Anolis sagrei: one gene and its partners. The protein of the gene in region 2 interacts with the protein of the main gene of each other region in a biochemical or structural test. Links are inferred from orthologs where the notes say so. Each region holds a gene or a part of one and is shown on either strand. Other genes may lie near its edges.

Evidence for each region.
Region 1: the proteins of BCL2L1 (region 2) and VDAC1 form a complex in vitro, tested with the Homo sapiens proteins (4 studies listed by BioGRID). The link is inferred for Anolis sagrei from reciprocal best matches to the Homo sapiens genes BCL2L1 and VDAC1.
Region 3: the proteins of BCL2L1 (region 2) and HRK interact in a biophysical measurement, tested with the Homo sapiens proteins (3 studies listed by BioGRID and IntAct, with this or other methods). The link is inferred for Anolis sagrei from reciprocal best matches to the Homo sapiens genes BCL2L1 and HRK.
Region 4: the proteins of BCL2L1 (region 2) and SIVA1 form a complex in vitro, tested with the Homo sapiens proteins (2 studies listed by BioGRID and IntAct). The link is inferred for Anolis sagrei from reciprocal best matches to the Homo sapiens genes BCL2L1 and SIVA1.

Annotation. Positions count from the first base shown.
Region 1 is NC_090022.1:92,315,766-92,323,819, reverse strand, and holds the start of VDAC1 (non-selective voltage-gated ion channel VDAC1), read right to left. Parts: upstream 3,048-8,054; 5' UTR 2,972-3,047; coding exon 2,810-2,971; intron 1-2,809. UniProt on the Homo sapiens protein: Non-selective voltage-gated ion channel that mediates the transport of anions and cations through the mitochondrion outer membrane and plasma membrane.
Region 2 is NC_090024.1:242,222,993-242,231,420, forward strand, and holds the start of BCL2L1 (bcl-2-like protein 1), read right to left. Parts: upstream 3,198-8,428; 5' UTR 2,978-3,197; intron 1-2,977. UniProt on the Homo sapiens protein: Potent inhibitor of cell death. Inhibits activation of caspases. Appears to regulate cell death by blocking the voltage-dependent anion channel (VDAC) by binding to it and preventing the release of the caspase activator, CYC1, from the mitochondrial membrane.
Region 3 is NC_090034.1:42,693,777-42,701,165, reverse strand, and holds the start of HRK (activator of apoptosis harakiri), read left to right. Parts: upstream 1-4,632; 5' UTR 4,633-4,777; coding exon 4,778-5,050; 3' UTR 5,051-5,067; intron 5,068-7,389. UniProt on the Homo sapiens protein: Promotes apoptosis.
Region 4 is NC_090021.1:328,505,533-328,513,592, forward strand, and holds the start of SIVA1 (apoptosis regulatory protein Siva), read right to left. Parts: upstream 3,329-8,060; 5' UTR 3,138-3,328; coding exon 3,020-3,137; intron 1,523-3,019; coding exon 1,319-1,522; intron 1,028-1,318; coding exon 871-1,027; intron 1-870. UniProt on the Homo sapiens protein: Induces CD27-mediated apoptosis. Inhibits BCL2L1 isoform Bcl-x(L) anti-apoptotic activity. Inhibits activation of NF-kappa-B and promotes T-cell receptor-mediated apoptosis.

The DNA of each region.
Region 1 (8,054 bases), on a different chromosome or scaffold from region 2:
CATGGCTATTTTTGATGACACACGGCCACATGCGGCCGCATACAGAGAAGTACACCTTATAAGAGCCAATCTAATTCCATCCTTAAATTTGTAAAAGGCTCTACAAATTTAGCATCTGCACATTTGAGTATTGTTCACTGCATAACTCAGCATGGAATATACATTTTTCTTATTTAAACTATAAATATTGCAATATTATTGGGGGGGGGGGTTCCCTCGAAGTTGACACCCCACCCAAGTTATGCTCAGGTTTTTAGCAAATTTTGACACACCAAGCTCAAAAGGTTGCCCATCACAGGCCTAGGGTATGCCTGGATATTTTAACATCCTGTGATAGGCCTGTCCCTGCATGAGAAGCTGGAACTGAGAGATGCTCCCCGGATTCAAACCACCGACCTTTCGGTCAGCAGTCCTGTTGGCACAAGGCTTTAACCCATTGTACCACCAGAGATGAAAAGGGGATACGGGAGAGAACAGGGGAATCAGAACTACCAGGAATAGGGTTTTATTCTTGAAATATTCACTCCCATAACACTTCCTGTCATGACATGACAAATAACATGTTGCAACATCACCATCGACTTTTAAATTATATTAAGCAACTCTTTAAGAGTACCCCTCTGTCATTACTTCTAAGAATCTTAGTTGGCTCACTGAATAATGAATCAAACCGAGATTGCTATGCTGTCCTAAGCACAACAACTGGGAGGTTAATCCCAACAAATCTACATCTGCACAACATGGCTGAATGAGAGAATTTTGCTGCAATAGAATTCTGGAAGAAGCCCAGGACTAAAAAGAGAGAACAGAGAATGACACCTCAACTTGAAGGCTAGAAAAAGAAATGTATGAACATCCAAAAAATGTTAAAACTCTGTCAGCTGCAGTAAATCTACTGTTTATGAATGACAGTAGCTTTCAGCCCAGGGCAACAAATAAATCCAACCCTAATTGCTTGCTTCACACAAATCAACTGTAAAGCAGGTCACATTGGAAGAGTCCTAAAGGCAGTGCCAAATAATCTGAGGTATCATCAAATCATTTTGTGTAACATTGATAAAAAGGTCTTTCACATTACATCCAGTCAAATTTGAAGGTACTTAGTTTTCTCTTAACCATGCCTAATGAATACTGAAGAAGCTTTCTCCATTTTGTTTTAATATCATATTTAATGTTTGCAACTATGACCCAGTTACATGGTTTGCATGTTGGACTACAGATGCATCTACATTGTTGAATTATAGTAGTTTGACACCACCTTAACAGCTATATCTCAATGCCAAGGGATCATGGGATTTGTAATTTGGTGAAGCATCAGTACTCTTTGGCAGAAAAGGATGAAGACCTTGTAAAGCTACAACTCTCACAATTCCATAGCACAGAATCATAGGCGTCAAACTACATTAATTCTACAAAGCAGATGCAGCCCATGACTCTGGAGACCAAGACTGAAGCCCCTGATCAGTCATGGAAATCCATTGGATGACTTTGGGCAAGTCACACACTCTCAACCTCAGAAGAAGGCAAAGCTGACTCCCTTCTGTACAAATCTTCCGAAGAAACCCTGGTGATAGGTTGAAAGTGTTTTGAAGGCAATGGAGGATGAAGACCTTGTAAAGCTACAACCCTCACAATTCCATAGCACTGAACCATAGCAGGTGTCAAACTAGATTAATTCAATAATGTAGATGTACCCCATGACTCTGGAGATCAGGATTGAAGCCCCTGCTCAGTCATGGAAACCCACTGGATGACTTTGGCCACACATTCTCAGAGGAGAGTGAAGTTCAAACCCTTCTGTATAAATCTTCCCAAGACAACCTGGTGATAAAATTGGAAGTGTCTTGAGGGTACACATTGTTCCCAAGGGAAGCACTTTTTAAAAATCCAGCAAATCGACTGAGTTTTAACTCTTTAACTCTCTTCCACGGAAATTAATTTTTTAAAAACCACTAAAAGTGCTTTTTGAACTTTACTAGAGAGTCCGGTCTCATGTTTGCCTCCTGATAGCTCCGAAGGCCTGCAGCCCTCTCTCTCTCTTACTAGTCCACTGGAAGCCAGTGCGGGAGGCATCTGGGAGAGAAAGCCTCGGAGCTTCCTCTTCTCTGCAGGAAGCATCCCTGAGGAGAGGAGGAAGCGGCAGACCTCCTTCCCGCAGCTCCAAGGGCATGAAGGGCGTTTAGAGGGCGGCCCGGGGGGGGGGGGCAGAGGGAGAATGAGAGGAAGAGGCGACGGAGGCCGAAAGGGGACCCGGAAACGTGGGAAGCAACGCGATCCGGGCGAGGCGAGCCTTCAAAGAAGAGCCGTGGGCCTTCTCTCCGACTCGTGCGAGGCGTGCTTTGCCTCCCGGAAGGTCACGCAGCGCTGCCTTTGGCGGAGGCGCCGGACGGAAAGGAGCCCTGTCCAAATCCCACTCTCTTCTCGAGGGAGAGCAGATGGCGCGGCTTAAAATAGCCGCCCAATGGCCCGCCAGGCCCCGATCCTGGGAGGGAAGGCCGAGGCGCCGCCCGGGGAAGGATGCCGAGGAGGAGGAGGAGGAGGAGGCAGGGAGGATTGGGTGGACAGCGCTTCCAGAAAGAGGCGCCCGCGGGTGGGGTTGGCGCTCAGGCCAAGGCGGCCTCCTTGGGAAGAAAGGGAAGGCCTGGCAAGGGGGAGAGCACAGCGCCAAAGGTCAGGGCTTGGAGGGCAAGGCGATGGCTCCTCGCCCAGGCCTCAGCGCCTGGCTCCAAGCCTCCTCCACCCCTCTCTCCCTCCCTTTTGCTTCTCTACTGGATCTCCTCTACCGCGACGCAGCGTGGGCTCAGCTTACCGCTCCGCCGGGCTCCTTTCCGTGGCTGCAGCAGGGCTTCTGCGGAGTGACAGCTGGCGAGGAGGCGGCGGAGAGGGGCGAAGGGGAGGGGGAAGGGGCCGAGGGGGAGGAGGAGGAGGAGAGGCGGAACGAGGTGGGCCTGTCCTGCGCCGAGGCCAGCATCGCGGAACCCTCCCCGCGCGGCTGCGAGACGTGACTGCGGCGCCCGCTCCCGCCTGCCTGCCTGCCTCGCCGCCTCGCCCGGCTGGCTCCTGCCGAGGGGGCGGGGCTTCGGAAGCGGCTCGGCCAATCCCAGGGCCTGCCTCCCGTTGAGCGTTTCACGCGCCCCAAGAAGAGCCAGGGGGCTGGCACTGGAGGCTGCGGCAGGCGGGCAGGCGAGGCAGCGCGAGACCGTGCGCCTGCGTGGTGCTGCGAGCGAACCACGGGTCCACAGCTCGGCTTCTTGGGGCGATGCATCCTCCCTGAATGCCCAGGGTTCTGGGAGTTGGAGTACAAAAGGATGGTGGAAGAACTCTTTTAGGCCTCGGCTACACTGGCTGACTAATACAGTTTCAAACCAGTCTTGCTGTGCAAATAGTTGCATCAGGAAGAGCGAGTCTACACAGGCATCCTTCCAAGGCGTAGTATCCACTAGGCATACATTCCCCCCGTGCACTGCACTACACCTCTATCCAGGCACAGCTGTTGTTGTATATTTCTGAGCAGGCCTTTGCAAATTATTATTATTTATTATTATTTATTATGATTGTGATTATGATTATTATTATTTAGAGCTTTTATAACCCGGTCTTCTCGACCTCCGAGGAGGGACTCAGGCCGGCTAACAACAGAGAATCAATATGCAAATAAACTAAAGCATAATAACATCATAGTACATTGATACATCAAAACACATTAAAATACAGATCAAGAATTACATAAAGCTGATTCGTCAAGGTAAATCACAAATTCATCCCATCCGCCTTGTAGTCAACAGTTATTGATTCCATCATCAATCTGAGAATGCTAAGTTCCAAAGCCAAGATTTTACCATCTTTCTGAAAGTCAGGAGGCAGCATAATTATTGTATCCATCTGCAGCTACTGTAGAATGAATGCAGTTGGATACAATTTTAACTGCAACGGCTCAAGGCTATAGAATTATGGGAGTGATAGTTTGGTGAGGGAGCAGAAAAGGCTAATGAACCTGGTAAAACTAGAACTCCCAGGATTCCACAGCATTTAGCCATGACAGTTAAAATAGAATCATAGAATCATAGAATCAAAGAGTTGGAAGAGACCTCATGGGCCATCCAGTCCAACCCCCTGCCAAGAAGCAGGAATATTGCATTCAAATCACCCCTGACAAATGGCCATCCAGCCTCTGCTTAAAAGCTTCCAAAGAAGGAGCCTCCACCACACTCCGGGGCAGAGAGTTCCACTGCTGAACGGCTCTCACAGTCAGGAAGTTCTTCCTCATGTTCAGATGGAATCTCCTCTCTTGTAGTTTGAAGCCATTGTTCCGCATCCTAGTCTCCAGGGAAGCAGAAAACAAGCTTGCTCCCTCCTCCCTGTGGCTTCCTCTCACATATTTATACATGGCTATCATATCTCCTCTCAGCCTTCTCTTCTTCAGGCTAAACATGCCCAGTTCCCTAAGCCGCTCCTCATAGGGCTTGTTCTCCAGACCCTTGATCATTTTAGTCACCCTCCTCTGGACACATTCCAGCTTGTCAATATCTCTCTTAAATTGTGGTGCCCAGAATTGGACACAATATTCCAGATGTGGTCTAACCAAAGCAGAATAGAGGGGTAGCATTACTTCCTTAGATCTAGACACTATGCTCCTATTGATGCAAGCCAAAATCCTATTGGCTTTTTTTGCCGCCACATCACATTGTTGGCTCATGTTTAACTTGTTGTCCACGAGGACTCCAAGATCTTTTTCACACGTACTGCTCTCGAGCCAGGCATTGTCCCCCATTCTGTATGTTTGCATTTCATTTTTTCTGCCAAAGTGGAGTATCTTGCATTTGTCACTGTTGAACTTCATTTTGTTAGTTTTGACCCATCTCTCTAATCTGTCAAGATTGTTTTGAATTCTGCTCCTGTCCTCTGGAGTATTGGCTATCCCTCCCAATTTGGTGTCGTCTGCAAACTTGATGATCATGCCTTCTAGCCCTTCATCTAAGTCATTAATAAAGATGTTGAACAGGACCGGGCCCAGGACGGAACCCTGCGGCACTCCACTTGTCACTTCTTTCCAAGATGAAGAGGAAGCATTAGTGAGCACTCTCTGTGTTCGTCCACTTAACCAATTACAGATCCACCTCACCGTAGTTTTGCCTAGCCCACATTGGACTAGTTTCCTTGCCAGAAGGTCATGGGGGACCTTGTCGAAGGCCTTACTGAAATCCAGGTACGCTACATCCACGGCATTCCCCGCATCTACCCAGATTGTAGCTCTATCGAAGAAAGAGATCAGATTAGTCTGGCATGACTTGTTTTTGATAAATCCATGTTGACTATTAGCAATGACTGCATTTGTTTCTAAGTGTTTGCAGACCACTTCCTTAACAATCTTTTCCAGAAGCTTGCCCGGTATCGACGTGAGGCTGACCGGACGGTAGTTGTTTGGGTCATCCTTTTTTCCCTTCTTGAAGATTGGGACCACATTGGCCCTCCTCCAATCTGCTGGAACTTCTCCCGTTCTCCAAGAACTCTCAAAGATGGTTGCCAATGGTTCCAAAATGACTTCCGCTAGTTCCTTCAATACTCTGGGGTGTAGTTGATCTGGCCCTGGGGACTTGAACTCATTAAGAGCGGCCAGGTATTCCTGGACGACTTCTTTCCCAATTTGGGGTTGGATGTCCTCCAATCCCTCATCCACTCCATCTTGCTGAGGTTGAAGACTCTCTTTTTGTGAGAAGACCGAGGCAAAGAAGGCATTAAGTAGTTCTGCCTTTTCCCTATCCCCTGTCAGCATTGCCCCATCTTCTCCTCGAAGAGGTCCTATCGCCTCCTTGTTTTTCCTTTTTCTACTGACATAAGAATAGAAGCCCTTTTTATTGTTTTTAATGTCCCTGGCAAGTCTGAGCTCGTTTTTTGCTTTAGCCTTGCGGACCTTTTCCCTACAGGTGTTGGCTATTTGTTTGAATTCTTCTTTGGTGATTTCTCCCTTTTCCCACTTCTTGTGCATGTCTCTTTTGTGTCTTAGCACAGTTAGAAGTTCTTTGGACATCCATTCTGGCTTCTTTGCACTTGTCCTATTTTTTCTCTTTGTTGGCACGGTTTGCAATTGCGCCTTGAGTATTTCACTCTTGAGAAATTCCCATCCATCCGTAACTCCCTTGTTTTTTAGTATCTGTGTCCACGGAATGCTGCTCAGCGTTTCCTTCATTTTTTGGAAATCAGCTCTCCTGAAGTCCAAAATGCGGGTTTGTCTTGTCTTAGTTTCGGCCTTCCTTTGTACCTCAAATTGCAGGAGCACATGGTCACTTGCCCCTAAGGATCCTACCACTTCGACCGCATTGATCAGGTTCTCCGCATTTGTTAGGATGAGATCAAGAGTAGCCAATCCCCTTGTTGCCTCTTCTACCTTCTGGACCATGAAATTTTCTGCAAGGCAAGCGAGGAATTTGTTGGACCTTGTACTCTTGGCCAAGTTTGTTTTCCAGCAAATATCGGGATAGTTGAAATCGCCCATGACTACTACATCTCTTCTCTGTGCCTGTTTGGTCAACTGTTGGCAGAAGACTTCATCAAGTTCTTCCTCCTGGCTTGGGGGTCTGTAGTAGACGCCTACAACGACATCTTTTTGAGTCCCAGTTCCCTTGATTCTTATCCAGATGATTTCAAGCTGGTTTCCCAGATTGCTGTCTTGAATCTCTTCTGCAGCATAAGAGTTTTTGACATATAAGGCTACTCCGCCTCCTCTCCCCTTTGTTCGGTTTCTGTGAAAGAGGTTATACCCCTCGATATCTACATTCCAGCGATAGGAGTCATCCCACCAGGTTTCAGTGATCCCTATGATATCATATTTGTGGTGTTGTCCTAAAGGTTGGAGTTCGTCTTGTTTATTTCCCATGCTCTGTGCATTAGTGTAAAGACATGTGAGCCCCTGAGATCTTCCCTTGAGCTGTTTAATTGGGATTATTGTGCTTTTGGTACTTGGTCCTTGTTGTGTTTGTGCAGCCCTCCGTTTAGCCTTCTGGTGATTCCCAGACATTATGGGTAAAGTAGTGTTCGCAAGGCTGTTGTCCCCCTCCCCCGGTGGACCTAGTTTAAAGTGCGTCTAATGAGGTTTGCGAGTCTGTGAGCAAAAAGGTGTTTTCCTACTTGTGTGAGATGCACCCCATCCCTTGCCAGTAGGCCATCCTCCTGGAAAAGCAGGCCATGGTCGAGGAAGCCAAAGCGTTCCTCCTGACACCATTTTCTAAGCCAGTCATTGACCTGTACTATTTTTCTGGCTCTTGTGGGTCCGTGTCTTACAACAGGGAGGAGGGATGAAAAGACCACCTGTACATTACATTCTTTTAGCTTTGCTCCTAGTCAAACTACATTCATTTTACAATGTAGATTCACCCACTGAGGTTCCCATGTCCTGGTGAACCAAGCCCAAGGCATTGTAGCAAAGAGCTTCACAGTAGTGAACAGGGGACACTTTTAATACATGCAATTTGGACATATTCCAGTCTGCTTAATGCACTAGACTAGCAGGAGAAGATATGTATGTTTTAACTATGCAGTGGTTAATGAAAATTCATTATGAATTTAATTTACTGGAGGCTGAAAGTCACCTATTGGTAAGCCATGGAGCAGCAAAGCAAGGCAAAAAGGCACACCTCTCAGAGTAGAGAAGAGGTCAATCACCAGGAAGAGGATTATTTCACTTAGGAGAAGCATTGAGTTATTTCCTGACCTGGGAATGGTACCGCCCATGAGCTGCAGTTGGGCCACCCTCCTCTCCAAAGGTCCCCTTCTACTTACATGCCCCAAAAATAGTTTGACTGGAGGGGATCACTTTCTGTTTAAAGAGAGTCATACTGGTCCCACTACTGCCCTGTAACAGGTCTAACTTGTTCTCTGCTGCAGCTGTTGTAACCGGAGTGGACTGGTCCTACCACCACAGGCGTCTACCAAAGGCCACTTGGCCTTGTTAGAGCAGAGCTACTCCACCTGCCTTTTGTAAAAAGTGCAAAGTGCATGTGCCCCATTTTTTCCAAACTCTCAAAGTGTATACTGTTAGAATGAAGCAAAATCAAAAC
Region 2 (8,428 bases):
TGAGTATGTTAATGTATGTTCTGGATGGTAATGTTCATATGTGCATGTCAATGTAGGCATGTGCTATGTTAATGCGTTTGCTTCATTTAGTTTTGTAGTATGTTGCAGTGGCTAATTAGATAGCTGCTTATAGTTTAATGGTTTTAATCCACAGTTATATGCTATGTTTAGATATGTGACATATTTTACATATATGTGAACCATGGAATTTTGCCATTATGTTGTAAACCACTTTGAGTTCCCTCAGGGGTGAGAAAAGAAGTACAGAAATGCAATAAATAAATACATAAATAATAAGTTGTTAGTTTAGCAATAAATATTGTAAAAATCTGCTTATTTTTATTATTTCTGCTCTTTTACTATGTTTTATTTATTTCTGAATAGAAATTAGTTTAAAGAAAGAATTACAGCAGTTTGACGCAACTTGAACGGCCATTGCACAAGACTATAGAATTCTGGGGATTTGTATTTTTCTGGGATATTTAGCTTTTTCTGTCTGGTACCAAAACAAACTACAAATCCTAGATGTCTATAGCACTGAGCTACAGCAATTAAAGTAGTGTCACACTGCTATCATTCCTTAGATTTCCAACATTTTGTCCTCCAGATGTTTTGGATTTCAGCTCCCAGAACCCCTGGCAATTGAGCAAGCTGGCTGTGGCTTCCTGGTTTCAAACATTTAACAGGATCTAAGGGCTGGAATGCTGCTGCATCCATTCCATTTCTCTCCTATGTTGGAAATTATTTTCCCTCCCCCAATAGTTTCTTGTTCAAAGCTTTGATCTCAAGGAAAATCAAGAAAAGGTGAATGCTGGCAATTTCTGCAAGCAAACTGCTTACTAAGATACACGTGAGAAATAAAATTATTATTATTATTATTATTATTATTATTATATTTTGAATTAATGCAGTTCCATATAACTTTACTTGCCATGGCTCAATGCTATGGAATCCTGGGAATTATAGTTTTATGATTAATCAGTGCAATGAATGTGACGATCACAGGAATTGAAATATGGACGATGAATTTTGGATCACGGCTCTAGTTATGAGACACATTTGGTTGTTGCTGTTGTGTAATATTGTGTATTGTGCTCTTTTGTTCTGAATTGTAGATTGTTGACTGTTTTTATCCTGTTGTAAACCGCGTTGAGTCGCCGGCTAGGCTGAGAAACGGCGGTATACAAATAAAGTAAATAAATAAATAAATAAATATAGGTATTCATAGCCTTCTCTGCCAAAGAGTGTTGGTTTCTCACCAAAGTACAGCCGTGTCCTAATCTATATAAATAAAAATGACTAAACGACTCCGGCCCAGTTTACCTGTCTGAACGGATTCTCCCCTAGGAACCATCAAGGCTATTAAGATCTTTCGGGGGACCCTGCTCTCGGTCCCACCACCCTCGCAATCATGGTTGGTGGGGACGAGGGACAGGGCCTTCTCAGTGGTGGCTCCCCGGCTTTGGAACTCCCTCCCACTTGAGAGTAGATCTGCTCCCTCCCTCCTGACTTTCAGGAAACTACTAAAGACCTGGTTCTGGAATGTGGCGTTCGAGGACTGAAGCTATAACCTCCATCCACAAGGAAGGAGGATGATGAACTGTGACTGTATTGACGACTTGGCTTGGGTAATGTGATGATGATGTTTTTATTGTACTTTTTAATCTGTAATGATGATGCACTGTGTTGTTTTTGTATATTATTGTATTTGAACACATGTTGTGAACCGGCCTGAGTCCCTCGTTCGAGGTGAGAATACCGGTATATAAAACTTCTAAATAAAATACAAGGTGCAGGTTATCACCTATAAAGCTCTAAATGGTTCAGGACCTGCCTATCTGCTTGACCACCTCCTCCCTTACGAGCCCATGTGGTCCTTAAGATCTTCCGGGGATCCCCTTCTCTCGCTCCCACCCCCGTCTCAGCCATGGCTGATGGGGATGAGAGAGAGGGCCTTCTCGGTGGTGGCCCTCCATCTCTGGAACTTCCTACCCAGGGATATTAGGCTGGCACCCTCCCTAGCCACATTCTGTAAGGAATTAAAGATGTGGATGTTTTGTCGTGCTTTCGACTGATGACTTTTATGACAAATGACCTGTATCATGACTTATCATTCAATCTGATGTCCTATATAATATTAACTGATCCTGTTAATTTACTCGGTTTTCATGATATTTCCTATGCCATTACTAAACCACTTTATCCTTTAGCTAGTTCACGAAGTGATGAACTGTGACTATGATTATGACTGGATTGACGACTTGGCTTAGGTAATTGTGATGATGATGTTTTTATTGTATTTTATTGTACTATTTTAATACGTAACGACGTTGCACTTTGTTGTACTTATATATTATTGTACTTGCATATATGCTGTAAACCGACCTGAGTCCCTCGTTGAGGTGAGAAGGCCGGTATAGAAAACTTCTAAATAAATAATGTTCATTTGTGGGATTAAGAGACCTCAAAAACCACTGGACAAATTGACATCAAATTTGGACACAAGACACCTAACAACCCAATGTATGCCCTTCACTCAAAAAGATTGATTTTGTTATTTGGGAGTTGTAGTTGCTGGGATTTATACTTCACCTACAATCAAAGAGCATTCTGAACCCCACCAATGATGGAATTGAACCAAACTTGGCACACAGTTCTTCCATGACCAACAGAAAATACTCTTTTATATATAATTAGCATAACACAGGAGACAAGAGGGAACTGTCTTCCTGGCCCCTTTCTCTTCATTTCCCTTTAAAAAGGAACTTCTGCAAACTTGGCAGGAAGCTGGATCTCCTGAATGTGAGCCCAGTGACGTCACGCGCCTCCCTCCCCTTTCTCTTCCCATTCATTTCTCAAACTCCGGCAGGACAAAGCCTAGCTCCGCCCCCAGCCCTGCTCCCAGCCAATCCCGTAGAAGGGAAGGCGGGCCCAGAGTGGCCGTCTACTCATTGGCCGCCCCTCCTGTCAATCTTACCTCAGCCCCGCCCCTCGCTCGTCTTCTCTTCACCGGCAACCGGCTTTCTTTGCGAAGAGGCGGCTGAGGAAAAATGCTCGCAAGAGGGAACCCCAGAAGGCTTCGACGGCTCCGGCAGGGCTTCCGTCTCCGTTTATGCCCGTTAAGCGGCCGTTTCGGCGTCCCTGCTGCCTTGCTCCTTCACCGGCCGGGCGAAGGTGGAATGCGCATGCGCGAAGCTGTGCTCGCGCTCGAGCCCATGTTGCGCATGCGCGGCTCGAAGGCGGGGGGGCGAGTTGGGCGTGTGTGAGAAGAGCTGTAGTGCGCATGCGGAAAATATGGAATCCCCACCTTAGAGGAAGCCTTCAGACTCTGCGCTTGCGCAGTTCGTCTCCTTGAGTCTAAGCTAGGAAAAGGCGCGCGCGCCCCCTTGTGGCCGGAGCTCCAACCATTGGGAATTTTATAGATCTCTATATATTGAAATGATAATATGATAGATAATAATGGAACATTGTAGGAATAGATATGATTTCCATTATGACACAAGCAAAAAGTCAGAATTGTACAAAATATATTGTATTCATACATATATTTAGGTATCTATAAATATATGTGAAACTATATATGTATATATAATATATACATAAATTATAATCCCCATTTTATATATATAATGGGGATTATAATATATGTATATATTATATATACATATATACAGTTGTGTATGTGTATATATATATATATATATATATATATATAAACATACATACACATTGATCCAGGTTTTTTGAATAATTATACTTGCATGTATGTAATATGTATTTGTATGTATGGGATACATAAAGTAAATTGGATATAGTAAATGCATTTATTCCTGTACATCTTATACACACGGTCTGAAAATAATTGCAAATGCAATATATTTTCATAATCCTGTGCATGACATAAACCTCTTGTACATTGAACTGCCTGAAAGCAAAAGTGCCAGTGAAATGTGTGATTTTAATAATCGATGTAATTGTTTAGATGTTTTAATTCTTTCATTTTTAATGTAAATATTTATTTCATTGTATATTGTTTTTATGGCATTGAATTGTTGCCAATGTGTAAGGCTACCCTGAGTCCCCCTCGGGGTTAAGAAGGATGGGGTATAAAAGTGGCAAATAAATAAATCTATATAAATAAAAATGTTATGTTCGTTTGTGGGATTAACAGAACTCAAAAACCAGTGGACGAATTGACACCCAATGTATGTCCTTCTCTCTAAAAAAAATTATTTTTTCATTTGGGAGTTGTAGTTGCTGGGATTTATAGTTCACCTACAATCAGAGAACATCCTGAACTCCACTAACGATGGAATTGAACCAAACTTGGCACACAGTTCTCCCATGACCAACATAAAATACTGGAAGGGTTTCCTGGGCAGTGTCCTTTGGTTTTGGAGTTGTAGTTCACCTACATCCAGAGATCACTGTGGACTCAAACAATGTTGGGTCTGGACCAAACTCTACATGAATACTCAATATGCCAATACAATCACAGAGCATTCTGACCCCCATCAACGATAGAATTGGGCCAAACCTCCCACACCGAACCCCCATGTGGGCTACAGCAACGCGTGGCATGGGACAGCTAGTATTATAATAAAATGTAATCAGAGCCCTCCTGACAAAGAGCCATCCAGCCATAGATATAGATAAGATAGATAGATAGATATGATTCACACACACACAGATATAGTATCCTAGATTTGAAAAGGACCCCTAAAGAAGGACTATGATATGTTGCATGTTCCAGAGTAGGCAAACCAGACACTCTCCACATCAACACTGACAAAGAAAGAGCAAGAAGTACTGTTTACCCACAAGCAGAAAGACATTACATATATTAGAAAACCAACACTTTCTCATTACTTTATATTCCAGATCACCAGACTGGGCCACAGCAATGCGTGGCAGGGAACAACTAGTAATATAATATATTGTATGTATATATATCTTGTAAGCTGCTCTGAGTCCCCCTTATTAAATATATTTATTTATATTCTGCTTTCTCTCCCCAAAGGGCAATTCCTATATTATTATTTTATTTATACCCTGCTTTCTCTCCCCAAAGGGCATTTCCTATATTACTACTACTACTACTACTATAATATTTATTCATGCTTTATCTCCCCAAAGGGGTCTTAATATTATTATTGTATTATAATTATTATATGATAATTATATATATTCATAACCTGCTTTCTCTCCCCAAAGGGAACTTCCATTATATTATTATTATTCATTTATACTCTGCTTTATCTCGCCAAAGGGCACTTCCTATATTATTATTATGCCCGAAAAAGGCACTTCCATTATATTAGTAGTAGTATATTCATTTATACTCTTCATTATCTCCCTAAAGGGCACTTCCTATATTATTATTATCATATTATTATATTTATTTATACCCTGATTTCTCCCCCGAAAAGGTACTTCCATTATATTATTAGTAGTAGTATATTCATTTACACTCTGCATTATCTCCCAAAGGGCACTTCCTATATTATTATAATTATTATATTATAATTATTATATTTATTTATACCCTAATTTCTCTCCCCAAAAGGCACTTCCATTATATTATTATTAGTATATTCATTTATACTCTGCTTTATCTCCCCAAAGAGCACTTCCTATATTATTATTATCATATTATTATATTTATTTATACCCTGATTTCTCTCCCCAAAAGGCACTTCCATTATATTATTACTATTATATTCATTTATGTTCTGTTTTATCTCTCCAAAGGGCACTTCCTATATATTATTATAAATGTTATTATTATTATCATATTTATTTATACCCTGATTTCTCTCCCCAAAAGGCACTTCCATTATATTATTACTATTATATTCATTTATGTTCTGTTTTATCTCTCCAAAGGGCACTTCCTATATTATTATAATTGTTATTATTATTATTATTATCATCATATTATTATTATTATATTTATGTATACCTTGATTTCTCTCCCCAAAAGGCACTTCCATTATATTATTGTTAGTAGTATATTCATTTATAATCTGCATTATCTCCCCAAAGGGCACTTCCTATATATTATTATAAATGTTATTATTATTATCATATTATATTTATTTATACCCTGATTTCTTTCCCCAAAAGGCACTTCCATTATATTATTACTATTATATTCATTTATGTTCTGTTTTATCTCTCCAAAGGGCACTTCCTATATTATTATAATTGTTATTATTATTATTATTATCATCATATTATTATTATTATATTTATGTATACCTTGATTTCTCTCCCCAAAAGGCACTTCCATTATATTATTGTTAGTAGTATATTCATTTATAATCTGCATTATCTCCCCAAAGGGCACTTCCTATATATTATTATAAATGTTATTATTATTATCATATTATATTTATTTATACCCTGATTTCTTTCCCCAAAAGGCACTTCCATTATATTATTACTATTATATTCATTTATGTTCTGTTTTATCTCTCCAAAGGGCACTTCCTATATTATTATAATTGTCATTATTATTATCATATTATAATATTTATTTATACTCTGATTTCTCTCCCCAAAAGGCACTTCCATTATATTATTATTAGTATATTCATTTATACTCTGCTTTATCTCCCCAAAGGGCACTTCCTATATTATAATAATAATAATAATAATAATAATTATCATATTATTATATTTATTTATAACCTGATTTCTCTCCCCAAAAGGCACTTCCATTATATTATTATTATTAGTAGTATATTCATTTATACTCTTCATTATCTCCCCAAAGGGCACTTCCTATATTATTATTATTATCATCATATTATTATATTTATTTATACCCTGATTTCTTTCCCCAAAAGGTACTTCCATTATATTATTACTATTATACTCATTTATACTCTGCTTTATCTCCCCAGTGGGCACTTTCTATATTATTATTATTATTATTTATTTTTATATTATTACTATTATATTATTTTATACTCTGCTTTATCTCCTCAATTGGCACTTCCTATATTATTATGTTTATGATGATGATTATATATTCATCCCCTGCATTATCTCCCCAAAGGGCACTTCCTATATATATATATATATATATATTATATTCCTATATTATTGTTTATTTACACCCTGCTTTATCTCCCCAAAGGGCACTCCACAAGCAGCCATTTAACTATTATAAACACAAGCCTTGAGTGTACATTTGAAATATATTAAACACCAGCCTTGAGTGTTCATTCATTCAATCCAGCAATACATCTAAAGGAGTCGATAGGAATCCAGGAAAGCTGTGGTGTAAACAAAACGCCCACTCCTCTTGGAACCAGCCGCACTCTACTTCACTGTTTCCCCTCGCCTCTCCCTTTCTCTTTCAGGATTGGCCACGCAGCACGTTGCTTATTGGCTCCCTCCGCGCTATGCTTTCTGGGATTTGTCGTTTCCTCTTAAAGCACCGCGAAGGCTTGTCTCTGGCTCTTCCTCGGCCTCAGGACTACATTACCCAACAGCCTTTGCGTTTTGTTTTAGCTGCAAACAGAAAGAGGCGGTGTCCTCATTTGAATACTTTTCCCCGCCCACTTGGCTCCCTCGTTCTGACCAATCAGGTGCATGTAATCAGGGCGGGCGCACCGTGATTGGCCAGTTTGGAACTGAGGCAGAAATTTGAAATTATTTAACGTTGGAGAGAGGAGGAGGAAGGAACTCCAGAGGAGCTGGCTTCGGTTGGAGGTAAGAAATGCGGCCTTTTTGTATTATATCTCATTTGGCTTGGATTGAATATATCTTTTTATGTATCTATAGAGAGAGATGTATATATTATACACACACAAAAAATAAATAATAATTAATCTGCACTTTATATTATATTTTTATATTATATAATGTATAATGTATAATATATATTGTATAACAAATTTAAGTATCTATAAATATATCTATCTATATGTGTATATAGAGAGATGTGTATCTATAGAGAGAAATTTATATATTTCTCTATAGACACACAAAAAATAAATGATAATAAAACTGCATTTTATATTATATTTTTATATTATATAATGTATAATATATATTGTATAACAAATTTAAGTATCTATAAATATATCTATCTATATGTTTTGATGGATTCATTTCAATTGGTTCAATCCGAGGATGTGGACAAGGTGCTTGGAGGAATGAGAGCTACCACATGCATCCTAGACCCCTGCCCATCCTGGCTTCTGAAGGAGGCCAGAGGGGGATTGGCTGAGTGGGTGAAGGTGGTGGTTAATGCCTCCCTCCGGGAGGGCAAAATTCCAGCCAGCTTAAAGCAAGCTGTGATAAAACCATCACTGGACCCCACTCAATTCGTCAACTATCGGCCTGTTTCCAATCTCCCCTTTTTGGGCAAAGTCATGGAACATGTGGTGGCCTCACAACTCCAGGCATTCTTGGT
Region 3 (7,389 bases), on a different chromosome or scaffold from region 2:
GGCCATTCCCACTTGCCTCCAACAGACAAGAGTTCTTTCTCCCAACCTGGACATTCCACAGGTATATATATAAAACTCACTTACCTAGTTTCCAACAAACCTCACAACCTCTGAGGATGCCTGCCATATATGTGGGTGAAAAAGTCAGGAGATAATGCTTCTGGAACATGGCCAGACAGCCCAGAAAACTCACAGCAACCCAGAGATTCTGGCCATGAAAGCCTTTGATGATTATAAGATGCACACTAATGTCAGTGCCACCAAGACAAAGAGAGGCATCAACTGGTGAGGAGGGGGCATCCCAGAGTGGGGGGGGGGGGGAGCCACAGTGGCACAATGGGTTAAATTCTTGTGCTGCTGGACTGCTGACCAAAAGATGGTCAATTCTCTCACACCAGAAGTGACTTGCAGTTTTACATGTTGGACTGTTTTACATATTGATAGCATCGTATGGTGCTTGTGTGAGGCCGCCCTGAGTCCCTCTTTGGGGGGAGAAGGGCAGGGTAGAAATACATTAAATAAATAAATAAATAAATTTATCAAGTCGCTTCTGACACGATAAAAAAGTCCAGAAGTGGGAGGAAGCATCAAAATAAGCCAAAAAGCAACAACAGGGGAACTAAAGATGAAAACGGGGGAATGCTCAGAGAGCACCGAGAGGGAGGCAAGGGAACTGGAGAAGAAGATGGTTGTATTGAAGTTAAGCATTTAGGTTCAGCTACAACAGAGTAGTATGATTAGTATCTATCTATCTATCTATCTATCTAATCTGTATATTCATCCAGTTACCTATATACCTATCTGTCCATCATGCCTGCATATTTATCTACCTATCTCCCAACTGACGTGCCTACTCTATCTCTATCTATCTGATTTATCTATCTATCCATCCTATCTGCCTATGCTTCTGCCTATCTGACTATCTATGTATTCATTTTATCTGCTTATTTATCTCTAGTCTATCCATCCATCCATCCATTGTAATTATCTCTAATCTGTCTATTTAGCTATCTGTCCTATCTACCTAACTATCTGCCTATTTATCTCTAATCTGCCTATCTATCTATCCATCCATCCACTCTATTTGTCTATTTATTTATCTATCCTATCTGCCTATTTATCTGTAATCTGCCTGTCTATTTATCTATCTATCCATCCTGCCTATTGACCTCTAATCTATTTTCTATCTATCTAATCTATCTATCCATTCTATCTGCCTAGGAGCCTCCGGTGGCACAATGGATTAAACCTTTGTGTCGGCAAGATGGAAGACCTACAGGTCGGAGGTTCAATTCTGGGGAGAGCGCGGATGAGCTCTCTCTGTCAGCTCCAGCTCATCATCCTCCCACAAGGATAGTAAAACATCAAAACATCCAGGCGTCCCCTGGACAATGTCCTTGCAGATGGCCAATTCTCTCACACTAGAAGCAACTTGCAGTCTCTCAAATCGCTCCTCACACACACACACACACAAATCTGCCTATTTATCTATCTACCTATCTCCCGACGACCGACCTACCCCGACACAAAACAAATCTCTATCTCCCTATTTATCTGTCTATCTATCTATCTATCTATCTATCTAATCTGTGTCTATCCATCCAATTACCTATCTACCTATCCATTTTATCTACCTATTTATCTCCCTATTTATCTGCCTATCTACCTAATCCGTCTATCCGCTCAGTTACCTATCTGTCTATCCATCCTATCTGCCTGTTTATCTGTCAATTTATCTGTCTATCCATCCATCCATCCTATCTGCCTATTTATCTCCCTGTTTATATGCCTATCTCTTTATCTGCCTATTTACCTATCTGCCTATCTATCTACCTAATCTGTCTATTCACCCAGGTACCTATGTCTATCCATCCTATATGTCTGTTTATCTGTTTATCTGTCTATCTATCTATCTATCTATCTATCTATCTATCTATCCTATCTATCCTATCTGCCCATCTATCTCCCTATTTATCTGCCTATCTCTTTATTTATCTGCCTATCTATCTATCTATCTATCTATCTACCTATCTACCTAATCAGTCTATCCATCCAATCTGCCTATTTATTTGTCAATGTATATATTCATCCATTCTATCTGCCTATTTATCTCCCTATTTATCTGCCTATCTATCTACCTACCTAATCTGTCCATCCTATCTGCCTGTTTATCTGTTGATTTATATATCCATTAATCCATCCATCCATCCATCTATCCTTTCTGTCTATTTATCTGCCTACTTGTCTGCCTATCTATCTATCTATCTATCTATCTATCTATCTATCTATCTATCTATCTGCCAATCTATCTATCTAACTATCTATCTGCCTATCTAACTACCTAATTGGTCTATCCACCTATCTACCCATACATCCTATCTGTCTGTTTATCTGTTGATTTATCTGCCTATTTATCTGCATATCTACTTATCTATCTACCTACTCTGTCTATCCATCCAGTTACCTATCTATCTATTAATCCTATCTGCCTGTTTATCTGTTGATTTATCTATCTATCCATCTATCTCCCTTTTTATCTGCCTATCTCTTTATTTATCTGCCTAATTGGTTTATCCATTCAGTTACCTATCTACCTATCCATTCTATCTGCCTGTTTATTTGCTGATTTATCTATCCATCCATCCATCCTATCCGCCTGTCTCCCTGAGGAGCCCCCGGTGGCACAATGGGTTAAACCCTTGTGCCGGCAGGACGACAGGTCGGAGGTTCAAATCCAGGGAGAGTGTGGATGAGCTCCCTCTGTCAGATCCAGCTCCCCATGCGGGGACATAAGAGAAGCCTCTCACAAGGATGATAAAACATCAAACATCCGGGTGTCACCTGGGCAACGTTCTTGTAGGCGGCCAATTCTCGCACACCAGAAGCAACTTGAAATTTCTCAAGTTCTCCCTATTTATCTGTCTATCTATCTATCTATCTATCTATCTATCTAATCTGCCTATCCATCTAGTAACCTATCTTTCTATCCATCCTATCTGCCTGTTTATCTGTTGATTTACTTAGTCATCCATCTATCTGCCTATTTATCTGCCTATCTATCTGTCTATCTATCTGCCCATCCACCTATCTACCTATCTGGGCATCCCCTGGGCAACATCCTTGCAGACAGCCAATTCTCTCACATCAGAAGCAACCTGCAGTTTCTCAAGTCACCCCGACACAAAACAAAACTCTATCTCCCTATTTATCTGTTTATCTATCTATCTAATCTGGCTATCCATCTAGTTACCTATCTTTCTATCCATCCTATCTGCCTGTTTATCTGTTGATTTATTTAGCCATCCATCTATCTGCCTATTTGTCTGCCTATCTATCTATCTATCTATCTATCTATCTATCTGTCCATCCAATTACCTATCTACCTATCCGGGCATCCCCTGGGCAACATCCTTGCAGACAGCCAATTCTCTCACATCAGAAGCAACTTGCAGTTTCTCAAGTCACTCCTGACACAAAACAAAACTCTATCTCCCTATTTATCTGTCTATCTGTCTGTCTGTCTAATATGTCTATCCATCTAGTTACCTATCTGTCTATCCATCCTGTCTGCCTGTTTATCTGTTGATTTATGTAGTCATCAATCTATCTCCCTATTTAACTGCCTTTCTCTTTATTTATCTGCCTATCTATCTATCTATCTATCTATCTCTCTATCTATCTGACCATCCAGTTACCTACCTATCTGGACATCCCCTGGGCAACGTCCTTGCAGGCGGCCAATTCGCTCACACCAGAAGCGACTTGCAGCTTCTCAAGTTGCTCCTGACACAAAACAAAACTCTATCTCCCTATTTATCTGTCTATCTATCTATCGATCGATCAATCTATCTATCTATCTAATCTGCCTATCCATCTAGTTACCTATCTTTCTATCCATCCTATCTGCCTGTTTATCTGTTGATTTATTTAGTCATCCATCTAGCTGCCTATTTATCTGCCTATCTCTTTATCTATCTATCTATCTATCTACCTATCCAACGTCCTTGCATATGGTCAACTCTCACACCAGAAGCAACTTGCAGTTTCTCAAGTCGCTCCTGACACAAAACAAAACTCTATCTCCCTATTTATCTGTCTGTCTGTCTGTCTATCTATCTATCTATCTATCTAATCTGCCTATCCATCTAGTTACCTATCTTTCTATCCATCCTATCTGCCTGTTTATCTGTTGATTTACTTAGTCATCCATCTATCTGCCTATTTATCTGCCTATCTATCTGTCTATCTATCTGCCCATCCAATTACCTACCTATCCGGGCGTCCCCTGGGCAACGTCCTTGCAGGCAGCCAATTCTCTCACACCAGAAGCAACTTGCAGCTTCTCAAGTTGCTCCTGACACGAAACAAAAAAACAAAACAAAAATCGAGCTCCCTATTTATCTGTCTATCTAGCTGTCTATCTGATCTGCCTATCCGCCTAGTTCCCTACCTGTCTATCCCTCCTACCTGCTTGTTTATCTGCCGATTGATCTCTCCATCCCCTCTGGTTCCCTATCTCTCTGCCTGCCTGTTTCTCTCGCTCCGGATCTCTCTCTGGGGCTCCGAAGGGGTTAAGCCCCCCCCCCTTCTCTCTCTCTGGAGCTCCTCCTCCTTGTGGCGGGGGGCGGCGCCTAACCTGGCTGGCTGAGCATAGGTTCAGGAGCGCGTCCTGCTCAGCGCTACTCGGCCCGCGGCAGCGGAAAGAGGCGCAGGTACGGTGGCGGTGCTCGTCTTCCTCCTCGTGCCCGCGCTCCTGCTCCTCGCCGTGCTCTTCCTGATGCGCGCCTCGCCCGACTGCCCGGCCATGTGCCCGTGCGCGGTGCCCAGCCCTGCTGCTGGCCCTCCGAGGGCGCCCAGCATGAGGGAGCGCTCGCTGACGGTGACGGCGGCGCGGCTGAAGGCCATCGGGGATGAGCTGCATGCGCGCGTCGAGGGCCAGCATGCGGAGGCGGAGACGGGGTGGCGGCGGCGGGCCTCGGGCACCGGCCTGGCCATCCCGGTCCTCCTGCTCGTGGCCTGGGCCTGGCTCAGCCGCCGCCGGAGCATGTAGCGCCCTTGAGGCCGCAGGTGAGCCGGGACCACGCACCCACGCACCCCGGGCGGGAAGGCGGGCTCTCTGTCGGGAGGGCTTCGCTGGGGCCCTCCGGTTCTCGCTCCTGGCCTCTCTCCCAACTCCAGGGAAGTCGAGAACGCATCGAAAGGGGATAGATAGATACATAAAGAGAGCCCTCTCGGGAGGTTCCCAAGCAAAGGCAGCGTGGCCATCTGTCGGGAATGATTTGACTGTGCCTTCCCAATTTAAAGCTGGGTTGGACTGGGCGGCTCTTGGGAGTCTCTTCCAACTCGAGTGAAATTCAGAACTAGAAAGGGGATAGATACATTCCCAAGCAGTGGCAGCATGGCAATCTGTTGGGAATGATTTGATTGTTCCTTCCCAGTTGAAAGCTGGGTTGGACTGGGCGGCTCTTGGGAGTCTCTTCCAACTCGAGTGAAATTCAGAACTAGAAAGGGGATAGATACATAGAAAGAGCCCTCTCAGGGCATTCCCAAGCAGAGGCAGTGCGGCCATCTGTCGGGAATGATTTCATTGTACCTTCCCAATTTAAGCGGGTTTGGACTGGATGGCTCTTGGGGGTCTCTTCCAACTCCAGTGAAATACAGAACGCCTAGAAAGGGAATAGAAACATATATAGAGCCTTTTCGGGAAGTTCCCAAGAAAAGGCAGAGTGGCCATCTGTCGGAAATGATTTGACTGTGTCTTCCCAAATTAAAGTGAGGTTGGACAGAATGGCTCTAGGGGGTCTCTTCCAACTCGAGTGAAATTCAGAACTAGAAAGGGGATAGATACATAGTGGCATTCCCAAGCAGTGGCAGTGTGGCCATCTGTCGGGAATGATTTGATTGTGCCTTCCCCAATTAAAGAGGGGTTGGACTGGATAGTCCTTGGAGGTCTGTTCCAACTCAACTGAAACTCAACATGTAGAAAGGGGATGGCTCAGGCAGGGGCCAACTTTAGCTCTCCCTCCAGGTACTTTGGACTTCAGCTCCCACACTCCCTAACACCCTCAGGCCCTTAGCCAGTTAAGCAGCTGAGGGGGGAAAGGAAGGGGCCTGAAGCTGTTAGGGATTGTGGGAGTTGAAGTCCAAAACACCTGGAGGGAAGGCCTAAGTTAGCCTCTGTCTGGGATTGATAGAGCCCTCTGTGGAGATTTCCAGACAGAGGATGCATGGCCCTCTGTCAGGAATGTTTTGCTGGTGCCCCGCTGCATGACTGACTGGATGGTATTTAGGGGTCCTGTCAGAAGCGTGTATTGCCCCATGCAGACCTGACAGTGCAACACAGATCTGCCCCTGGCTCTGCTTCTAGTCCAAGTCAAACATCATCAGTGGAAAGGCATCTTAGAGTTGGAAAGGACCCCCAAATGCCATCCAGTCCAACCCCATTCTCCCAGGGGAAAGCACAACCTAAACCTTCCCGACATATGGCCTCGGTTTCCAAAGCTGCCAGGGAAGGAGGCTCTTCTGTGGCAGTGGATTCCACTCCTTGAAAGGGACCTCTCAAGAGCCACCCAGTCCAACCCCATTCTGCCACATAGGAGTACCCAAGCAAAGCATTCCTGATGGATGCCCATCCAGCCTCTACTTTAAAACCTCCAAGGAAGGGGACTCCTCCAAAACATGGACCCCCAGGCAGTCCATGTTTTATTAGTTAGAAGAGCCATGCAGTCCAACCCCATTCTGCCAGGCAGGAATACACAATCCAAGCACGCCCGACAGATGGCCATCCAGACCGCTTCAAAACCTCCAGAGAAGGAGACTCCTCTGGATCCCCAGGCAGTCCAGTTCCGTCCCTTTTTACATTAGAGTTAGAAGGGCCATGCAGTCCAACCGCTTTGTGCCAGGCAGGGATGCACAATCGAAGCACTCCTGACAGATGCCCATCCAGCTCGTTTCAAAACCTCCAGAGAAGGAGACTCCTCTGGACCTCTAGGCAGTCCGTTTTCCATTAGAGTTAGAAGAGCCATGCAGTCCAACCCCTTTGTGCCAGGCAAGGATGCACAATCCAAGCACTCCCGGCAGATGCCCATCCAGCCCCCGTTTCAAAAAGCCCAGAGGAGATTTATCAATCTCCTTCTGGAGTTGCTTTGCCCAGGACTGGACACAGGGTTCTTATTCCAGGTGAGGTCTGACTAACTCAGAAAGAGAGTGGCGGGACAATGACACTTGACTCCTTCTGATGCAGCCCTAAAATTGGGCTGCAGGAGTTAACGGAGGGGAGCTACTGCCATCTACTACTGTAAGGCTGTTTTGAGTCCAGGTGCGAAGGAAAGGGTTGCAGGGGAAAACAAACTCAGGTCCCAGACACTCTTCCCCAAATGCTGGCCTCAT
Region 4 (8,060 bases), on a different chromosome or scaffold from region 2:
CGTGCTTCGCAATGACACTGTATAAGCATCTTTCTGATTTGTTATGAAAAGCAGGCGATATGTAATAAATGAGAAGGGGGAGAATATATACACTGCACTGAACCAGAAATTACTGTATATACTCGAGTATAAGCCGACTTGAATATAAGCCAAAGCACCTAATTTTACCACAAAAAACTGAGAAAACGTATTGACTCGAGTATAAGCCGAAGGTGAGAAATGCAGCCGTTATGGGTCAATTTCAAAATAAAGAGAGATAACCAATAAAATTACATTAATTACATTAAACAAAATTACATCAATAGGCTAAATATTTTTGAATATTTACATAAAACTGTAATTTAAGATAAAACTGTCCAACTCTGATCAAACCATTATTCTCACCTTCTTCAATGTAAATGAACTCATTATTAAAATAATAAATGTAATAAAAATAATAGAGTAAAATAATGAAAACGCAATAAAAACAGTAATAATAGAGTAAAATAATAAATGTAATAAAATAATAATAGGGTAAAATATTGTAAATGTAATAATAATAATAATAATAGGGTAAAATACTGCAAATGTAATAGTAATAATAATAATAATAATAATAATACAGCAAAATAAGAAATAGAATAATAGAGTAAAATAATACATGTAATAAAAATACTAATGACTAAAATAATAAATAACCTTGACTCGAGTATAAGCCGAGGGGAGCTTTTTCAGCCTAAAAAAGGGACTGAAAAACTAGGCTTATACTTGAGTATATACAGCAAGTTCTTACCATACAAGAATTGCAAATGAAAATGTCGCAAATAGCAACTGCGAAATATTTTCCGATGTTCAATAAAACTAAAGGAAGCTCAAGTTGTAAACACTTACTCTACGACTGAACATAAGAAGCAAGCAACAGCATTACAAGAGCTGCAAACTTTGCTGCAATGCTGACATATGTACCGATGGCACTGGGCACAAGCTCTGTTGGTGTCCACTGTTCTCACACACGAGGAGCAGGCCTTAGACCCTCCTATAGGCAGAGCTGTGCACAAACACAGAGAGATTCAACATCAGAACAGATTTCAGCAAGAAGGGTTGCTTTAGAAAAGTACTTCATTTAGAAAGCAAATTGCAGTACTCAAGTTATCTATAAAAGAAGCTGTCCATCAGACCATGTGAATCAAAATGGTTTGGTGATAAATACTGGCCAGAAATCAGGAAGGGACGTTCACATGCATGACTACCCTTTATCTATGTAGATAGGTTTCCGAGGACAGTGCAAAAGCTGGAATTCCCTTTCAGGAAACTGAACAGCTGGCGTAACTCAAGTCACCTGCTTCTCTTGCACTAGGCTGCCGAAGTTTCCCATCGTGTCCAATTAACATTTGTCCGTTGCATTTATGCTGCGAACATGCGTCCGGCCTGTCTGCAAGTGGTTCTGGTAACTCTGCTTTTAGACATTCTCCTGCTGTGCTCCCAATGCACGGATTCTCCATATACGTTTGGGCACCTCGGAAGAGAAGCTGTTTTGTTTTTTCTGCAAAACAAGGGACGAAAAGTAGAGGTGAGAATGTCATGGATGGTGGTCTGAATTAACATCCATGGCAGGCATGGGCAAACTTGGGCCCTCCAGGTGTTTTGGATTTCAACTCCCAGAATTCCTAACAGCCTACTGGCTGTTAGGAATTCTGAGAGTTGAAGTCCAAACACCTGGAGGGCCCAAGTTTGCTCATGCCTGCCATAGAGTAACAACAATGAATTTAGCATTTTCTTGGTAGCAAGCCTGCATGAAGTCATAACAATCCTGTGTAGCCAGTAAGAAAGTTTCAGCATTCTACTTGGAGTACTGTGTCAATTTCTGAGCACCACAGTTCAAGAAAGATATATTGACCAGCTGGAGAAGGCCGACCCAAATTGTCAGTAGTCTGGAAGCCAAGCCCTGTGAGGAGTGTCTTAAAGGGCTGGGCATATTCAGCTTGAAGAAGCAAAGATTAAGAGGTGACATGAGAACCATGTTTAAATATTAAAATATCATGATGGGGAGGGAGCTGAAGTTGAAGTCCAAAACACATGGAGGACTAAAAATATGATTATCAATATGTATATAAGGTAAAGGTAAAGGTTATCCCCTGACATTTACTCGTCATGTCCGACTCTGAGAGTTGGTGCTCATCTCAATTTCTATGCTGAAGAGCCAGCGTTGTCCGTAGACACCTCCAAGGTCATGTGGCCAGCATGGAGCGCCGTTACCTTCCTGCTGGAGCAGTACATATTGATCTAGTCACATTTTGAACTGCTAGGTTGGCAGAGGCTGGGTGGAGAGGAGCACCAATCCCCAGAGTCAAAAACCTTTACCTTTAATATAATAATATTAACATATTAAATATGATTACTCCTGATAATATATAATGATACACTGTTTTATTATTGTATATTTGAATATTTTAAGTTGTAATGTTTTTTTAATTGTGAGCTGCGTTGAGTCTCTGTACAGAGAGATAAAGCGGGATATAAATAAAATAACATAACTAAACAAATCCAGTTTTTTCTCAAAGCCACCAATGGCCAATGAGTTGAAGTCCCAAACACCTGTGCAGCCTGGAAAGGCCTTTAGCATCCTCAGAGGCCTAATCAGGATGTTGCCATGGCAACTAAATTGGGTCTTCCCCTTCTAACTAACTAAGCCAGTGGTTCTCAACCTGTGGTCCCCAGGTTTTGGCCTTCAACTCCCAGAAATGCTAACAGCTGAGAAACTGACTGGGATTTCTGGGAGTTGTAGGCAAAAACACCTGTGGACCCACAGGTTGAGAACCACTGATAAGCCCATTTGGAAAAACCCTATCTGACAAAGTATCAGAGAGAAAAGGCTCAAGTCTCGCGAGACTGGGAAAAACAAGGCTTGACCAAAGTTTCGCTGAGAGGGGGGAAAAAAAACCACTCCCTTTGCTCATGCGCAACATCGTGAAGCCTCCAAGAAGCGCATGCGCAACAGTGCCGCCCTCGTGAAGCCGCTAAGAAGCTCTGCTGCCCTTACCGAAGATGGCTCGCTGGTACTGCTCGCCCAGGACGCCTTGGCTCAGCTCCTTCAGCCTCACGCGGGTCTTCAGCTGCGCCGGGGCCGAGTCCCCGAACGGGCAGGAGCGCTTCGGCATTCCTTCGCCCCTCCCTCACTCACTCACTCACTCCAAAGGTACCCGGATGTGGACTTTCGTTCTCTCCTGCGCGGGAAAACCTCCCGAGCAACCAAACTCAACGCCCGCTTTCTAACCCGCTTGGCATGACGTCACTGAGATGTCAACCAATCGCGTAAGGGATTAAGTAAGAGGGAAAAAAAGGCGGGTCGGAATGTAGGCCCTGGAATGTGGGCGGGGACAATACCTAGCGGCGAAGCTGATTGGATGACTGATTTGTTAAAGTGACAGCCTGGGAGGAAGCGCCTCAGGGATGTTTTTTTCGCGAAAGGGGCGGGGACAACGCCTAGAGGCGAAGCTGATTGGAGGACTCGTTCTTAAAGTGACAGGCACTTCATTAGTTAGGAATGTTTTGCTCAGCAGGATATCCTCGATTTTGGTAACACTTTTAAGTCTATACATTTACAAAAAATGCAAGTTTTTTAATTCTCCAGAAGTCTTCATGAGCCCAAACCAGAAGTCTTTTAGAAGTCTTGGGCTGCATCTACACTATAGATAATATATTGTCTATACATATAATGTTTATAATATTATAATGTAATACAATATAATACTAATAATAATATAATAATATTACAATGTAATGGCAAAATGCAATATAGTAATATATAATACTGATATTGTACTATGCTAATAATATCTATATATATATAAATGCTCTGTGCATAATGAGTACCTTAAAAACAAAAGAACCAATGAACGAAATCACACCAAATATGGCAACAAAACGTCTCACAACACAAGGAGTGACCATCACTCAAAAAAAAATATGATTTTGTCATTTGGGAGTTGTTGTTGCTAGGATTTATAGTTCACCTACAATCAAAAGAGCATTCTGAACTCCACCAATGATGGAATTGAACTAAACTTGGCACAAAAAACTCCCATGACCAACAGAAAATATTGGAAGGGTTTGGTGGGCATTGACCTTGAGTTTGGGAGTTATAGTTCACCTACATCCAGAGAGCACTGTAGACTCAAACAATGATGGATCTGGACCAAACTTGGCACAAGCACTCAATATGCCCAAATATGAATACTGGTGGAGTTTGGGGGAAATAGAACTTGACATTTGGGAGTTGTAGTCACTGGAATTCACAGTTCACCTACAATCAATGAGCATTCTGAACCCCACGAACGACAGAATTGGGGCAAACTTCCCACACACGGCCAACAGAAAATGCTTAAGGCCACCCTATCCAACTCCCTTCATCAGGGCAAGAAAATGTAATCAAAGCCCTCCTGACAAAGAACCATCCAGCCAGAGAGAGAGATGAATCACACAGACAGATACAGTATCATAGATTTGAAAGGAACTCTTAAAGAAGGACAATGATATGTTGCATGTTCCAGGGTGGGCAAACCAGACACTCTCCACATCAACACTGACAAAGAAACAGCAAGAAATACTGTTTACTCACAAGCATAAAGAAATTACATATATTAGAAACCAACACTTTCTCGTTCCTTTATTTTCCAGGGGACAGCTAGTATATGTGTGTGTGTGTGTGTATAGTAAGCCACTCTGAGTCCCCTTCAGGGTGAGAAGGGCGGCATATAAATGTCGTAAATAAATAAATATAGAAATAATGTGAATTGAATCCACTTTAACCACCATGGCTCAATGCTAAGTAATCATGGGAGTTGTAGTTTGGTGAGGCCTCAGCACTCTTTGGCAGAGAAGGCAAAAGACCTAAAGCTACAGCTCCCAGGATTCTATAGTATTAAGCCATGGCAGTTAAAGTGGGATCAAACTGCTTTAATTTGACAGTGTAGATGTGTTTGATGATACTTTAGAGCAGGCAAGGGCAAACTTTGGCCCTCCGGGTGTTTTGGGCTGCAACTCCCACAATTCCTAACAGCCTACCGGCTGTTAGGAATTGTGGGAGTTGCAGTCCAAAACACCTGGAGGGCCAAAGTTTGCCCTTGCCTGCTTTAGAGATTTGAGTTGCCAGTGCATTTCGCCTAACATAACTGAACAGAAACATTGAACATTCCAGCACTACTAGCAGCATCTATGCTCCAAATATATTCTCCAAACTCATTAGGACCTAACTATGGAAGAAATACGTAGTGATGTGGAGATATTGCAATATATAGGCATTGACAAATATATTGTATGCACATTAGAAGTACTGAAATGTAGAAAAATCAGATTCTCTGTATTGGAAAGCCGACAGGACAAAAGGATGCTGAAGGAGATTTGTGTACAAGGCTCAAGTTAGAGGTGGTACGGGCCATACTCTCTCCATCTCTCCTGTCAGGTAAAAAATAGGCCCCTTGATTGATCTGTAGCCGAATCCTAGTATCTCTAACTTATTGTAAGCTGCTGTAGAAAGATATTTCTATGATGCTAAAGTGACATAGTGATTATGTTAACGTACGTAGGAGCATGTTTCTTTGTTTGCCTGTATTTGAAGATGTAAAAAAGGGAAAGTCAACACCTTTATCTTCACTTTGGTTTGCTTTTGGGGGGGAAATTCCACACCAGGCGCTCAGCTGAAAATAAAACTACTTCTCTGCCTCCACAAAGGATCACTCTTGGTATTCTCTATCCTATCGGCCACAATAGGATTGCAGTTTAGAAAATTTGTAGTCATACATATTGACATGTACTTTCTATTTTAATTCCCACCCACCCCCAGAATGGATTTATGTAAGCTCTTGATGTGTCCAGCGTTCTGACAAATATTTGAGATATATTAGTGAAATGACAAGACACAAAGGCAATTATGGTGTTTCCTGCCAAATATAAGACTGCCAAAAAAAGTATTGTTCAGAAATATGCTTGAAATCGAGCAACATATGTCACTTTTGTCACTGCTTTAAAAATCAAGGCAGGCAAACACTGTCAGCAAGACCTTCTGTTATGAATCTTCTGCAACTGCTGCCACTGCAGAGTTCTTTCTGATGAAAGTCTTGAAGGTGCTGATTAACAACACCTCCTCCTTAATTGCATCCCAGTCTTAGCAACACCTGCTGCTTTGTGGGTTGCTTTCTTTCCATTTGTGGGCTAAACATTTACAACAGCAACAAACCATTTTGTCCACATCCATGTTTCTGATGTGCTGTCAGGACTGCTGATCCATTGACACATTTGCCATCAATAGTTTCTGCAGTTTTTGGAAGCAGTTTTCAACCTGTTCTCAACAAAGCTATGAGTTAAGCAGTGGGTATTAGCATTTAGAGATTCTTGTAATATTATTTATTCCCTTTTTTGTTTTACTGTGTTTAGCTTCTCCTGATTCACGTGTTACATGTTCACATAATATGTGTTGTACACAGTACTGTCTTTCAAAAAGAAATTGACTTTGGCAGAAATTCTGAAAAGCAGTCCAGGCATGAGTATGGATCGATTTCCTATGTACGTATATGTACGTATATATGTACGTATATATACACAAAGGACTCAAGAGACCAAATTCTATACTCCCTGTCATGTAAGGCTTTATTAAGCAAAGAAAACTGGTGTACAATACGAGGATACAGCTTCATTTACAGTATACAAAAATAATCAAGAACACTATTTTGGTGCATTTAGTGACCAGTGTACTGCCAGCTGTATTCGTGTGAGAGCATCGTAAATGTTAATACACAAAACATGACTTTTCTACTGAAATCCTTGCATGATTACTTTTTCAGTTTCTGGCCATGCTGTTTCCCCACATTAATTCCACTCAATCATTTGAATTTCAGATTATCAATATTGCCTTTAACCTGTGTACAGAGCAAAGTAATGCTAAATGGTTATAACCAAATTCCAACTGAAGATTCAATGCATTATTTAGCAAGAAACATTCCAGAGAGCAACATGCAGTGTTCACATCAAACACATATCTTATTGAAGTCTGCATCACTGAATGGATTGCAATATAATTCCCTAATTTTGAATCTCAGTGCTTTTACTTTGAGAGAATAGAGATTTCTGTAAGAATAAAGCCAACAATTCAATAAAAATATTCTATAAATATCATCTAATAATAGGTTACAGAAACATTCAACTGTGATTTAGTGCCAGCTAAAAGTCCTGATGATCCAACAGAAATCCTTCATTTGCTGTAATGAAATGAGTGGGAAGTATTCTGAATAATCACTCTATTCATTTTACTGGCACTATAAATAGGAACATTTCCCAGTAGATTGCAATGCTGCTGGTTAAGATGCTCAACAGCCATTGCTCTGAACAGAATGTATGCAGTTTACCTTGAGTAGTAGTAGTAGTAGTAAAAAGGGCTTTGAATAAAATAGCCATGAGGCAGGGGTGATATGTATCTGCGTAACAACACGACAAATCATCCCCACCTTTCACAAGACAAAGATGACATTTCAAATAAAGCTACATTTGTTTACAAAGCACAGAAAGGAAGTCAGAGCATCTAGAGATCACATCAACTACTTAATGTCCTGGATGCATTCTTAGCATATCAGGATAAAGGCCACATTGGTGAATTTTACTCAAGTGCTAATGTGCTGAGGCACAGAGGGCCAAAGACAGGGATTCCCAAGAATTTTCTGGCAGGACTGGAACTCACCAGAAAAGCAAATACATTGGCAGTGATAGTGGTAAGAAGTGATCTATAAAACATTAAAAATCTCCAGTGTAATGAAAGACTGATCTCAACAGGATTGTCCTAAAAGCCTCTTTGCTGCCTTCCTGAGAGCTCTTATAGAATTTTGTGGTGCTTTGAATGCATTTCAAATAGTGCAAGTCTGGCCTAGAGGCTACTCTAGTTGTACAGCGTAGCTGAGCCACTAATCCGTATTACTGTTGGCAACACTGAAGTATTGGTCAAGGAAAAGGATGGCTGGAGATTGCTTCTGCTTAACTTACAGTGCTTTTTAGTCCTCAATGAAGCATAAGGGAAGAAGAGCAGAAGGGTGTCA